Linked DNA regions of Saccharomyces cerevisiae S288C. The gene in region 3 interacts genetically with the main gene of each other region. Each region holds a gene or a part of one and is shown on either strand. Other genes may lie near its edges.

Region 1 (3,581 bases), on a different chromosome or scaffold from region 3:
TTCAAGCCACCGATCATAATATTTTTAGAGTCTATTACAAGAGCAAAAGCGTTATATCATGAATTGATGTACGATAGGATTAACGTAGATGTGATTCATGCAGAAAGAACAGCCTTACAAAGAGACAGGATTATTGAACGATTTAAAACTGGTGAATTATGGTGTTTGATCTGTACCGACGTTTTAGCTCGTGGTATTGACTTCAAAGGTGTCAATCTGGTCATCAATTATGACGTTCCAGGATCGTCTCAGGCTTATGTTCACAGAATTGGTAGAACAGGTAGAGGTGGGCGGTCAGGTAAAGCTATCACATTCTATACTAAACAAGACTCAGTAGCTATTAAACCAATAATAAATGTCATGAAACAAAGTGGTTGTGAAGTATCTGAGTGGATGGATAAAATGGCTAAAATGACCAGAAAGGAGAAAGAAAGTATAAAAAACGGTAAAGCGCATAAAGAAAGAAAGCAGATTACTACTGTGCCTAAGATGGATAAGGCCAAAAGAAGACGTCAACAAGAAATGATTGCAGCATCCAAAAGAAGAAAAAATGAAGAACTTTCAAAAAAACATTTCTCGAAATAATATAAACAAACGTGCGTATGCAAGACATGTATATATGATTAGTAGTTTTTTTTATTTACTTTCATTGATCAATTACGTGACCAGCTATACATTTCTTCATTACTTCTTCTGGGCATTCTATTTAAATCGATATTTCCAAACGACTTTGTCATTGCTGCATAACCCTTTTGATAACTATCGTTTAACCCCACACCTCTGTAAGATTTCGATTCCACTCCATTATGTATATTTCTTCCAGAGTTAAAATGCTGCTTGTAATCTGAATTTTTTCTCTGGAATAGAAGTTCATTTTGATTTTCAAATGACATAAAAGGTTTTGTTTGATGTATATTGTTAGGGTGGAAAAAATAGGGTGTTCCACCAGTTATGGAGTTTTGTAGTTCTGCTTTTTCTCCCCAAAAATTTGATGTATTGGACGTGAAATCATAGGTTTCCTCGAAAGACTTTCCGTTTCTTTTCAATCCTAATGGGGGAGAAGGGCGGTTATCTATTGGCAAAAGTGGATTTCTAAAATCCCTAATGGAAGGTAAATTTTGACTTTCAGGTTGATTGGAGAATCTACGAACTGCTAGCTCTCTATTTAGCAAAGAGTTTTCTTGCATATGAAAGAAGTTTAAATCATTCAAAAGTTCCCCCAAAATTTTGAGCTCATATTCTTCATCCAAGTCAATATCTCTGTATTCCAAGAATTTCTTTTGCATTTGAACTGCGTCGTCAAAAAATGGAACACTTGACAAGCAAATGTCAATCTCTTTTTTAATGTATGTAAGCAAGTTGGTTTTTAGAAAACTCACCTCTAATTGTGTTTTGGTAAACGCTGTTGTGGCAGCTGAATACTCGGTTGGAGCTGAATTTGGCCTCTGTCCCTTGTATGGTGAAGTGGAAATATTCAATTCCATGACCGGTTCCTTTATTTCTTCTAATCCGCTTGTAAAATGAAAGGGCTGCATGTGTTTAGTTTTGTAACCTTCTGTATTACACCAAAAACTTTCCCAATTTTTAAATTGACACTCTTTCAAGCTTGGACTAGAGTCCGGAGCCAGTTTTAAGCCATCATTAAAATCGTCCGTGTGTTCAGATCTTTCGTGTATATCTTTATTTTCATGGAATATGTTGCTTGCAGTCCCCATTTTAGATGACTTTTCTTCATCTTTTTGGGACTTCTGTTTTACTGGACTATTTCTTTTACTTTCCTTACTAGTATTGCCATCTTCTTGAGAATCCATGTTAGGATACGCAGGCAAATCTGAATGGATGTTATTTGGAAAGTTTTCCTTTTCTAATCCATTTAAAAGAGTGCCAGCTCCCATCACTCAACCAATTCAGCTCTTTCCTTGCCAATACAACATAACCGGGAAGAGTTTCAAGTTTGACTTCCAACTAAATACCTAATGTTTTATTGTTGTTATTTATATTTCTTGTGACACAAAAGAGAACATTGATGTCATTTGAGCCTTATCGTTGGAAAGGATAAATAAGCGGTTTAAAAGGATAAAAGAAGCGCAAGCAACAAATCTCAACACAAGTGTAAACCATATGAATGGGGTTAAATGCCTTCTTCTTTGAGATATAAAAAGGAAGTAGAATTTAATATATTAGACATTTTTTTGATTTGAGCCTAAAAAAGATAGCCCTGTAGGGGGCTCGAACCCCTAACCTTATGATTAAGAGTCATACGCGCTACCGATTGCGCCAACAAGGCTATTTCGTTGAAAAATTCAGGCTTCAAAATTATTATATGTATCAAAAATATTTTTTTGAGAAATTTCAAATCATTATCTACGCTAGCCTTACTATTTTTTCACCCAGAAGATAGTAACCTCATCGCACATACCTATTGAAGCTGATAATATTTGAAGCGAGAGCTTTATTCTTCTCCTCAAATTTTTTTTTTCTTCTGCGCTGTTAACTTACCACTAAACCTGTTTCCATTTTTAATGGTAGTCCTGTTTATTATTCCATTTTTAGAATTGTATGTACCTTGGACGACATTTTTTGGCAATGACATCGAAAGCACTGTTTGATACCAAGATCTTAAAAGTTAACCCGCTATCAATCATTTTCTCCCCTGATGCGCATATAGATGGTTCCTTACCAACGATAACAGATCCTGAAACGGAAGCAGCGCTAGTTGAAGCGGCGAGGATAATAAGAGATACAGATGAGACTGTGGCTTTTCCAACCGAAACTGTTTATGGTCTTGGAGGTTCTGCTTTAAATGATAATTCAGTGCTTAGTATATACAGGGCCAAAAATAGGCCTAGTGACAATCCTTTGATTACACATGTTTCATCCATTGATCAACTTAACAGAAAGGTCTTTAATCAACCGCATCTATCAGGTACATCCTTGTTTGATAACATACCCTCAATCTATCGCCCATTAATTTCAAGCCTTTGGCCTGGCCCATTAACAATTCTTTTGCCAGTTCCATCTTCAGAGCATAGTGCATTATCAAAGTTAACGACCGCAGATCAGCCTACGTTTGCGGTACGCATACCCGCTAATCCAGTGGCTAGAGCACTGATTGCCCTGAGCGATACACCAATAGCTGCTCCTTCAGCGAATGCGTCTACTAGGCCATCTCCTACTTTAGCGTCTCATGTTTATCATGATCTAAAGGATAAAATTCCCATAATTCTTGATGGCGGAGCGTGCAAGGTTGGTGTAGAAAGTACTGTTGTTGATGGGTTATGTAATCCTCCTACGCTACTGCGACCTGGCGGTTTTACATATGAAGAAATTGTTAAATTGGGTGGTGAAGCTTGGTCTCTTTGTAAAGTTGAGAATAAGAAAACAGTTGAAAAGGGCGAAAAGGTAAGAACGCCTGGTATGAAGTATAGACACTATTCCCCTTCAGCTAAAGTTGTTTTACTAGTTCCTCATTGCGAAGGCGATGGCATTCTTAAGGGCGTTGATAGGATGGAAAGATTAAAGAGGTTAATCGAAACGGAATTAAAAGCCAACAGTAATATAAAAAAAATTGCGATTTTAAC
Region 2 (3,404 bases), on a different chromosome or scaffold from region 3:
CAACAAGAGTTTGGCTCCAGAAGTACATCAGCAAATATCCAAGCAATTAGCTGATCGTGAGAGAGAACTATTGCCAATTTACGGACAAATCAGTCTTCAATTTGCTGATTTGCACGATAGGTCTTCACGTATGGTGGCCAAGGGTGTTATTTCTAAGGAACTGGAATGGACCGAGGCACGTCGTTTCTTCTTCTGGAGATTGAGAAGAAGATTGAACGAAGAATATTTGATTAAAAGGTTGAGCCATCAGGTAGGCGAAGCATCAAGATTAGAAAAGATCGCAAGAATTAGATCGTGGTACCCTGCTTCAGTGGACCATGAAGATGATAGGCAAGTCGCAACATGGATTGAAGAAAACTACAAAACTTTGGACGATAAACTAAAGGGTTTGAAATTAGAGTCATTCGCTCAAGACTTAGCTAAAAAGATCAGAAGCGACCATGACAATGCTATTGATGGATTATCTGAAGTTATCAAGATGTTATCTACCGATGATAAAGAAAAATTGTTGAAGACTTTGAAATAAACCTTGTAAAGTAAAAAAAAAAAATAGTATTGATGTAATTTAATTTAGTTGCTAATATAAATTAGAAAATACATACATATATATATTATGCGCGTTTTCTTTCATAATCCGTTCTTTTTACTTAGAATATATTATATATCTGTGGGAAGGGGTACAACCTTTTGCTTTTTAGTGTCACTGCCTATGTGATCGGTCTGTTTCCTCTTTTGCTTGGCGATGGCGTTGGCGTTTTTCAAAGCTTTTTCTTGAGCTCTGCAGTTTTCCAAGTACTCTGAAGGATCTGTTTGAGCGCTTCCATCATCGTTCAATTGCTTTAGTACGAAACTAACTTCTTCCGGGCTCTTGCAACGGGCAAAGTACTGAAAAAAGACTGATTTTCCGGGGACAATTCTGCTTAACATGTATTTTGTATTGCCGATGTGGTTGTCAAACTTCGTTGCCCACTGAATAAACTCGCGACAAGCAACGACCCAAGATGGACCGTCTTCTGAAGGCTTAGAAGTGTGATCAAAAACTGTAGGGTCCCGTTCAGCACACTCTGCAATCATACCACCAATGTTAGTGTTTTTCCAATGATTCGCTTGTAAATCATGAAAATGAGAGCGGTCGCGGATAGCGCCGTTCACAATCAACGACACGTTATTTGCCTGGCATATCTCGTAGATCTCCGCAATGTAATCTGTGATGGGCTGCTCTCTGTTTCTCATTTCAGTCTTCCTGCAGTGAACTGTAAGATTTGTGATGCCCGTGGCACACAGACGTTTGACGAGCTGTAGAGTGTCTTGCTTGGTGTCCAAGAGTCTTATTTTCACACTGATGGGTTTGCTGTGAGGGTTACCCACGTTCTTAACCAGTTCTTTCAAGATGAGACACAGTGTGTCTGGGGTGCGCAAGAGGGCAGAGCCCATGCCGGAGTGTATAGAGAAGTGTTTGGGGCAGCCTGCATTGATATCTATCCCGCTGACGTCGTTGATCACTTTCAAAGCAGCCTGGGTGGCCAGAGCCGGGGATGCAGACCCGATCTGGAAAATCAATTTAGAGGATTCTAGTTTTGGATATGTTCTGAAAACGAGCGTCTCCGGCCTCGTTTGAACCTTGGACGGCACGACGTAGTCGACAGTTTGGAGTGCAGTGTTTTCCTTCCTGACGCACTGAATTAGCTTTTTGTCGATGATTTCTGGGGACCAGACGAGATCTGCACCGTGGGCCAGCGCCATCAGTCTCGTGGGCAGTTCGCCGGCTCTTACCATTGGAGCTAGAACCAGTTTTCCAGCATATGTAACCATGATCTCTGTGTGACTGCGCTATTTGGTGTGGCTTGGATGGATGAAATAGCAAAAGTTTTTCAAGACGGTTTTCATTTTTTCTTCGAGCGAAGTGATGAGCAAAGTAGAGGAAATGGAAAGCGGCAAAAAATGCATTGTCGATTTTAGTAATGAATATATAAAACGACGGAAATATATATATACATGGCTGCGTAGACCACGCAGAACTGTATATGTATGTATGTATAGAGGAGGGATGGGAAATGCTGTGTGACGATAGACAGATGGATGGACGAATGGATAACTACGTCTCTAGTCTCTCATACAATGGTTTGTCAAACTTGACGGCGACCGAGTTTCTTCTGTGGTGATGTCTGTTGCAAGGACAAGACGGGTCTGAGTGGTCGTTAGGAGACGCGGATGTTTGCGGCTCCTGTTGGTCACTGATGGGGAACATCATGCTATGCTGGGCGTACGAGACGGACCTTTTCATCTCGGACGACGAGCGATTATCGAAGGAGGGCAGTTGTGGCTCACTGGCCCTTCTTTGAAAGTTTTTGTGATGCGCGCATTGGTGGAAGTCGCTTGCCGGCAATACAGAGTTGCGCCTAGAAGAGGGCAGTAGTGACGGCGAGGTTGGGTCAGAAGTCAAGCACGAGGCTGCGGTGTAGTTACTCTTGAACAATGAGGGCCGCGTAGGGTCTGCTACAACGGGAGCGGAAACATTAAGTACAGTCTCGACGATTTCATTGTCAGTTGATAAAGCAGGCGGTAAGCCGACGGAGCTGCCTCTGGGGGAGCAGGCTTTAGATGTAGCAGAGGAGCAGGAGCTGCTGCTGCTGCTCCTGCTGCTGCTTCTGTCCGCGATCGACTTGTAGTGGAAGGTGATGTGAGCGGAAACAGGGATGTTCACGGCACAAGGCTTGATATCCGTGGACGACATGGAACGTTTATTAGTTATATTTTTCGAGAAAAAATCTGAAACTTGCAGATCATTAGTTTACGCTTCGGATGTACACACACATACCTATATACATATATACATACACATATATATACATTTGTGTGCTCGTATGCGTACTGTTTTGCACTGGGCTGATTCGAGAAAGTCAAAAAGCTTAACTGGCCAGAAAAAGAAATTAAAACGGCACCGAGGGGTCGAAACCTTCCGTTTCTGCGAAGGCCCTTTGTTCTTTTGCTTTTGATCCGAAATGAGGGGCGGCGAGAGGTAAGGGGTAGAGGGGCTGGAACTCTCGCTGATGTTCTGAGCGAGGTGTTCAGGTGGGCCTATCCGCCTTAATCACTCCGGCGTGGGGAAAGAAAGCAGAGAGCGAGCAGAGAGCGAGCAGAGAGTGGGTGATGTCAGAGAACGATAATCCTGATGGGGGGTGGAACTTTATTACCCTACTTGAATTTTTTTATTTTGGTAGGGTAACTTTTATTCCCTTGAAAAAAATACTTCTGGTTACCCGGATCCGTTTTTTTTCGGGGATCCACGTGATGGCTTTTTGATCAGGACTAATTTTAAAACTGAAAAAAAAAAAAAAAAATTGAGTATGTCTTGCATGTATGAAAATTGATAAGTAACTAGGAAAAATGCCGCTCAAAATCTT
Region 3 (4,211 bases):
TACATTATCGATCCTTGCATTTCAGCTTCCTCTAACTTCGGTGACAGCTTCTATAATAACTTATGTCACTATCTAACACCGTATATGATAATATATTGATAGTATGACTACTAGTTGATAGACGATAGTTGGTTTTTATTCCAACATCTACATAGTGGCACTCACTACGCTGCTAAATTTGATCATTTGGTGAATAATTTGATAATTAGTAGTTCTTCTCCGGGATATAGGAATCAACAAAAGGAAAACGATAGTTTTACATAATAATATTAATTTATCTTGCTTGGTTCGCCTTTGAAGAGCGCAGCTTTCAGAGATTTAGCTTCTATGGCCAAGTTGGTAAGGCGCCACACTAGTAATGTGGAGATCATCGGTTCAAATCCGATTGGAAGCATTTTTTTTTAATATTTTAAAATTGTTTATATTTTTGTACCACAAACATCATTAGAAGCTGCAAATGAAGTGAATCAGAAAATTTAAAAATGAAACTAAATACTAAATATTATTGTTCTTTTTCTAACAGTTGAAGTGCCAAAAGCAGTAAATTGTTTAAATATTAGGGTATAAAACATGATATTATAAAGTTAATGATTTAGAATGGCTCCGTCCAGCAGAACCAGTTGATTACCATTAATGTTGAGAGTTTATGCGAGTTTTTCAGGCTCGATTATGAGATACGGTACTAGATAATTCAGGATTATCAGGATTATCAGGGTTTACCACTTGCAATGGTCCGCTCATCATCATGTCGGGTAAAGAATTGGCACTGAACCTTTCATTTGCACTATTCAAAGTATTTGCCTCTTCAAAAACTGTCGATGGAAGGTTCTGTTTCTGAACCGTAGCATCTTGTAAGCCAGCCAAGTTGTTTATGATGCTTCCACTGGTGTTTGAACTAGGACTACTATAATTTGCACCATTACTCATAGAAAAACCATACATATTACTTGTACCGATAGAACCCGCTGTATTACCCCTTGAATGTCTCATCCAATTTGTCGTACCAGAGGAGGGAGGCGGTCCTATTGGATTTGCATCCTCATCACCGAACGAATAGGGCTGATAATGTTTCGTTTCCTCCAAGTCTAATTGGTCGTGCGATTTCCGTCTCCTCCATATCAGGAACAATAGAATCAAAATAATAAAAATTACGCCAAACACAACACCAATAACAATACCGGCAATGGCTCCACCACTCAGACGCTGCTTCGAAGTCGAATTAGATCTATTATTTGAGGCGGCAGCAGTAGCAGTAGCTACCTCAGAAGATCGTTCAACCACGGATGTCCTCGTAACAAATATTGTTTCCTGATGTTGATCAGAAGTACTCACGATCGCTTTTGTAACCACACTAGTCACTAGTTCCACTGAGGTAACTATTGGTATCGTTGATGACGTACTAGGGGTCATTGAGGTCACTTTTGGAGTTGATAGTGTGCTGCTACTCGAGGACACTGGCACCAAGGTGGAAGAGGGTGAAGAAGTACGGCTATCGACTGTGGTATGCTCAGATGAGGACAATGTAATGGATGAGGAGCTAGACGTAACAGAAAAGATAGAGGTAGTAGAGGAGGTAGTAGAGGAGGTAGTAGAAGAGGTAGTAGAAGAGGTGGTAGAAGAGGTGGTAGAAGAGGTGGTAGAAGAGGTGGTAGAAGAGGTAGTAGAGGAAGTCGAGGAAGAGGTAGTAGAAGAGGTGGTAGAAGAGGTGGTAGAAGAGGTGGTAGAAGAGGTAGTAGAGGAAGTCGAGGAAGAGGTTGTTGAAGTGGTAGAAACTGTCGTGGCTATCATTTCAGAACTTTTCATATCTGTTGACGTTCTCCTAGTAGTTGAAGAAATTTGGGCGGAGGACAATGAAGAAGTTGTTGAGGGCATATAGGAAGTGCTAGACCCTTCTTTGGAAGAGGAAGATTCAACCGATGAAACAAAAGTTTCAGCATTTACATACACGTTCATGTACGATGACCCTCCACACATTTGGTAAGGCCAGCCAGAGCATTTAGTTCCACAGTTTGAATCTGTTGATTTCGTCAAAGAAGTCAGAAAACTTACCGAATTACCGCAGTAACAATCTGACCCGTTAAATAATGCTACTACTGCTGACTCAGGGCACTGGTTTTGACAGTATGACACTGATTGATATATGTATGAGTTTTTCAGAGACAGTCCAGCAGACTGGATATCCGCGGCACTGTAACAGCCTTCATAATTAAAATCAGCATTAACCAGCCCAATCAGAGATTGACATAGCAAACTTAGAAGTATAAATGAGATATACCCGATTTTAATAGTTCCTTTATTTGTTAATTTTGCAAACCATACTCTTTCCATTTTATATTGTCTTCTGCTAAAAAAACAAACTATACGGACATGAATTTCATATAATGCACAAAGAAAATAGCTCACCAAATATTTCTCGAGGATTATCACTAATTTCGAGGAACAATAGAAAATTAGTATGGCGAGGGATCAAAAAATTTTTTATAGCAAATGTTTGGAAAGAAAAAAATGTATAACGAATGCAATTGTTTTATTGAAGTGTAAGAAAAATCAATATCTAACCTAGATACTATTTCAGGCAATGAAGTAAAACAATGGTCCTGGTCTGCAGTATACCACTTACGTTAAAAAGCTTTTTAAGATTAGTGCGGAGGCATAATTACTTTTTTTATAATAAAGAAAAAAATTCTCGAGTGGCTAAAATAAGAAGTTTGCCCGGATCTCAAAGGAGAGCGGGATGACGTAAAAATTCCTGATTTTGGAAAAATGCATTCCTACTAACGAATCGGCTGGTAAAATTAGGTTAAAAATCTCCTAGTGAAAGGGCAAACAGAAAAAAATCTTCACATTAAGCAAGATTTAAAGTAAACAGCAAAGAAAAGTTTTTTTTGGTTCAGATGTAATATGGATAGCCCGTTTTAACAATTCAGAATCTCATCTGTAAAGCATTGTAATATCGCTGAAAAAGTGAAAAACATTAGTTTCTTGACTGCTTCATCATTTGAATGGTCTTCCAATACCAAGAGATGTGCTGGCCTGACAAAGGATTTCACCCTCTCACTTGTAATTTCATCTGCCATCTGCACAATACCATTTGTAAAAATTAAAATACCGTTTTGACAATCTAGCCATAAACCAAAATTCAGTTTATATTTTCTGGGTTTTCTGAAAACGTCCAAGAGACTCAAAGCATTTTTATTAAGTAAAATTGTTGTGAATTCATCAATCGAACAACTGTATGAAGGTTGGAATGTAAAGTACCTTTGTGTTAATTTTATTACGAGTTCCCTGAGAACATTCGGAATGTTCTGATGGACCGTGGCATTTGGCTGAGTTAATTCAGACCATTGTTGCCATTTCACCAACAGGTCATGTAAAATAAGCTCATTAAACGACTCAATGAGTTTTGACCAGTTAGCGTAAACTTTGGTGAAATCTTTTTCTGGGCCAAATTTTGTTAAAACGGTTTCAAAGCGATTAACATATTCCTGAATTAGCTTGTAGGTTTTGGAGTTGGATTTGTCAAAGGAACAAATTCTAGGTATAATACACATCTTTAGTAATTGACTTCTATGGCGGGATACTCCAGAATTGACGACATTAACCAAGGTGGTATCACTATCGTTCCGATCTTCCCCTTCCTTTTGCCTGCTGAGTTGGAAATAGTGTGAAAAATCCTTCTGAACCAAAGAACTCAATTGACAATCTTTAAATATTTGCAGTGGGTAGTAACGTTTTGTAGAATCCTGCAAATTCGTAACGAGATCGACTTGATTCAAACAATATAACACAAACACGTAGTTCTTATGACCTCTAAACATCGGCGGGCAAACATTCGACGCAACTCCTTCTAGTGGCAAGAAATTAAGTTCCTCTTGCAGAGTATGCAACTTTGAGTCATGGAATTCAGTACAATTTCCAGAGGATGATGCTACAGGCTGCAGCAAAATACTTGCTAACCTATTATCCTTACTCATTATAGTTTTTCTACCTGTATTTTTATCCTAAGTTGTATATGGTATAGTTCATGACAATATTTTTGATATATCTGTCAAAATAGCCGCCCAACTTCTACGCCCGGTACGTCACTGAGTACGAAACGGATATATATCTTCCATTTGTAACTATTACTCTCAACTACAAAACAAAACGTGGTTGCTAGTCTTAGTGATTTTATTTACCACATGGATTACTTTAATTCGCATACTTTTCCA

Evidence for each region.
Region 1: mutations in WSC3 (region 3) and SPO74 together harm fitness more than expected from each alone (negative genetic interaction), as found in Saccharomyces cerevisiae (one large-scale study listed by BioGRID).
Region 2: mutations in WSC3 (region 3) and SMM1 together harm fitness more than expected from each alone (negative genetic interaction), as found in Saccharomyces cerevisiae (one large-scale study listed by BioGRID).

The regions. Positions count from the first base shown.
Region 1 is NC_001139.9:183,500-187,080, forward strand, and holds SPO74 (Spo74p), read right to left. Parts: upstream 1,896-3,581; coding exon 654-1,895; downstream 1-653. Other genes in the region: RNA-dependent ATPase ROK1, read left to right, coding at 1-585; SUA5 (threonylcarbamoyladenylate synthase), read left to right, coding at 2,560-3,581. UniProt on the Saccharomyces cerevisiae protein: Involved in the pathway that organizes the shaping and sizing of the prospore membrane (PSM) during sporulation. Probable component of a core structural unit of the scaffold that initiates synthesis of the prospore membrane.
Region 2 is NC_001146.8:651,795-655,198, reverse strand, and holds SMM1 (tRNA-dihydrouridine(20) synthase (NAD(+))), read right to left. Parts: upstream 1,813-3,404; coding exon 658-1,812; downstream 1-657. Other genes in the region: acetyl-CoA carboxylase ACC1, read left to right, coding at 1-526; YNR014W (uncharacterized protein), read right to left, coding at 2,096-2,734. UniProt on the Saccharomyces cerevisiae protein: Catalyzes the NADPH-dependent synthesis of dihydrouridine, a modified base found in the D-loop of most tRNAs. Specifically modifies U20 in cytoplasmic tRNAs. Also able to mediate dihydrouridylation of some mRNAs, thereby affecting their translation.
Region 3 is NC_001147.6:113,481-117,691, forward strand, and holds WSC3 (Wsc3p), read right to left. Parts: upstream 2,329-4,211; coding exon 658-2,328; downstream 1-657. Other genes in the region: NDJ1 (Ndj1p), read right to left, coding at 2,916-3,974.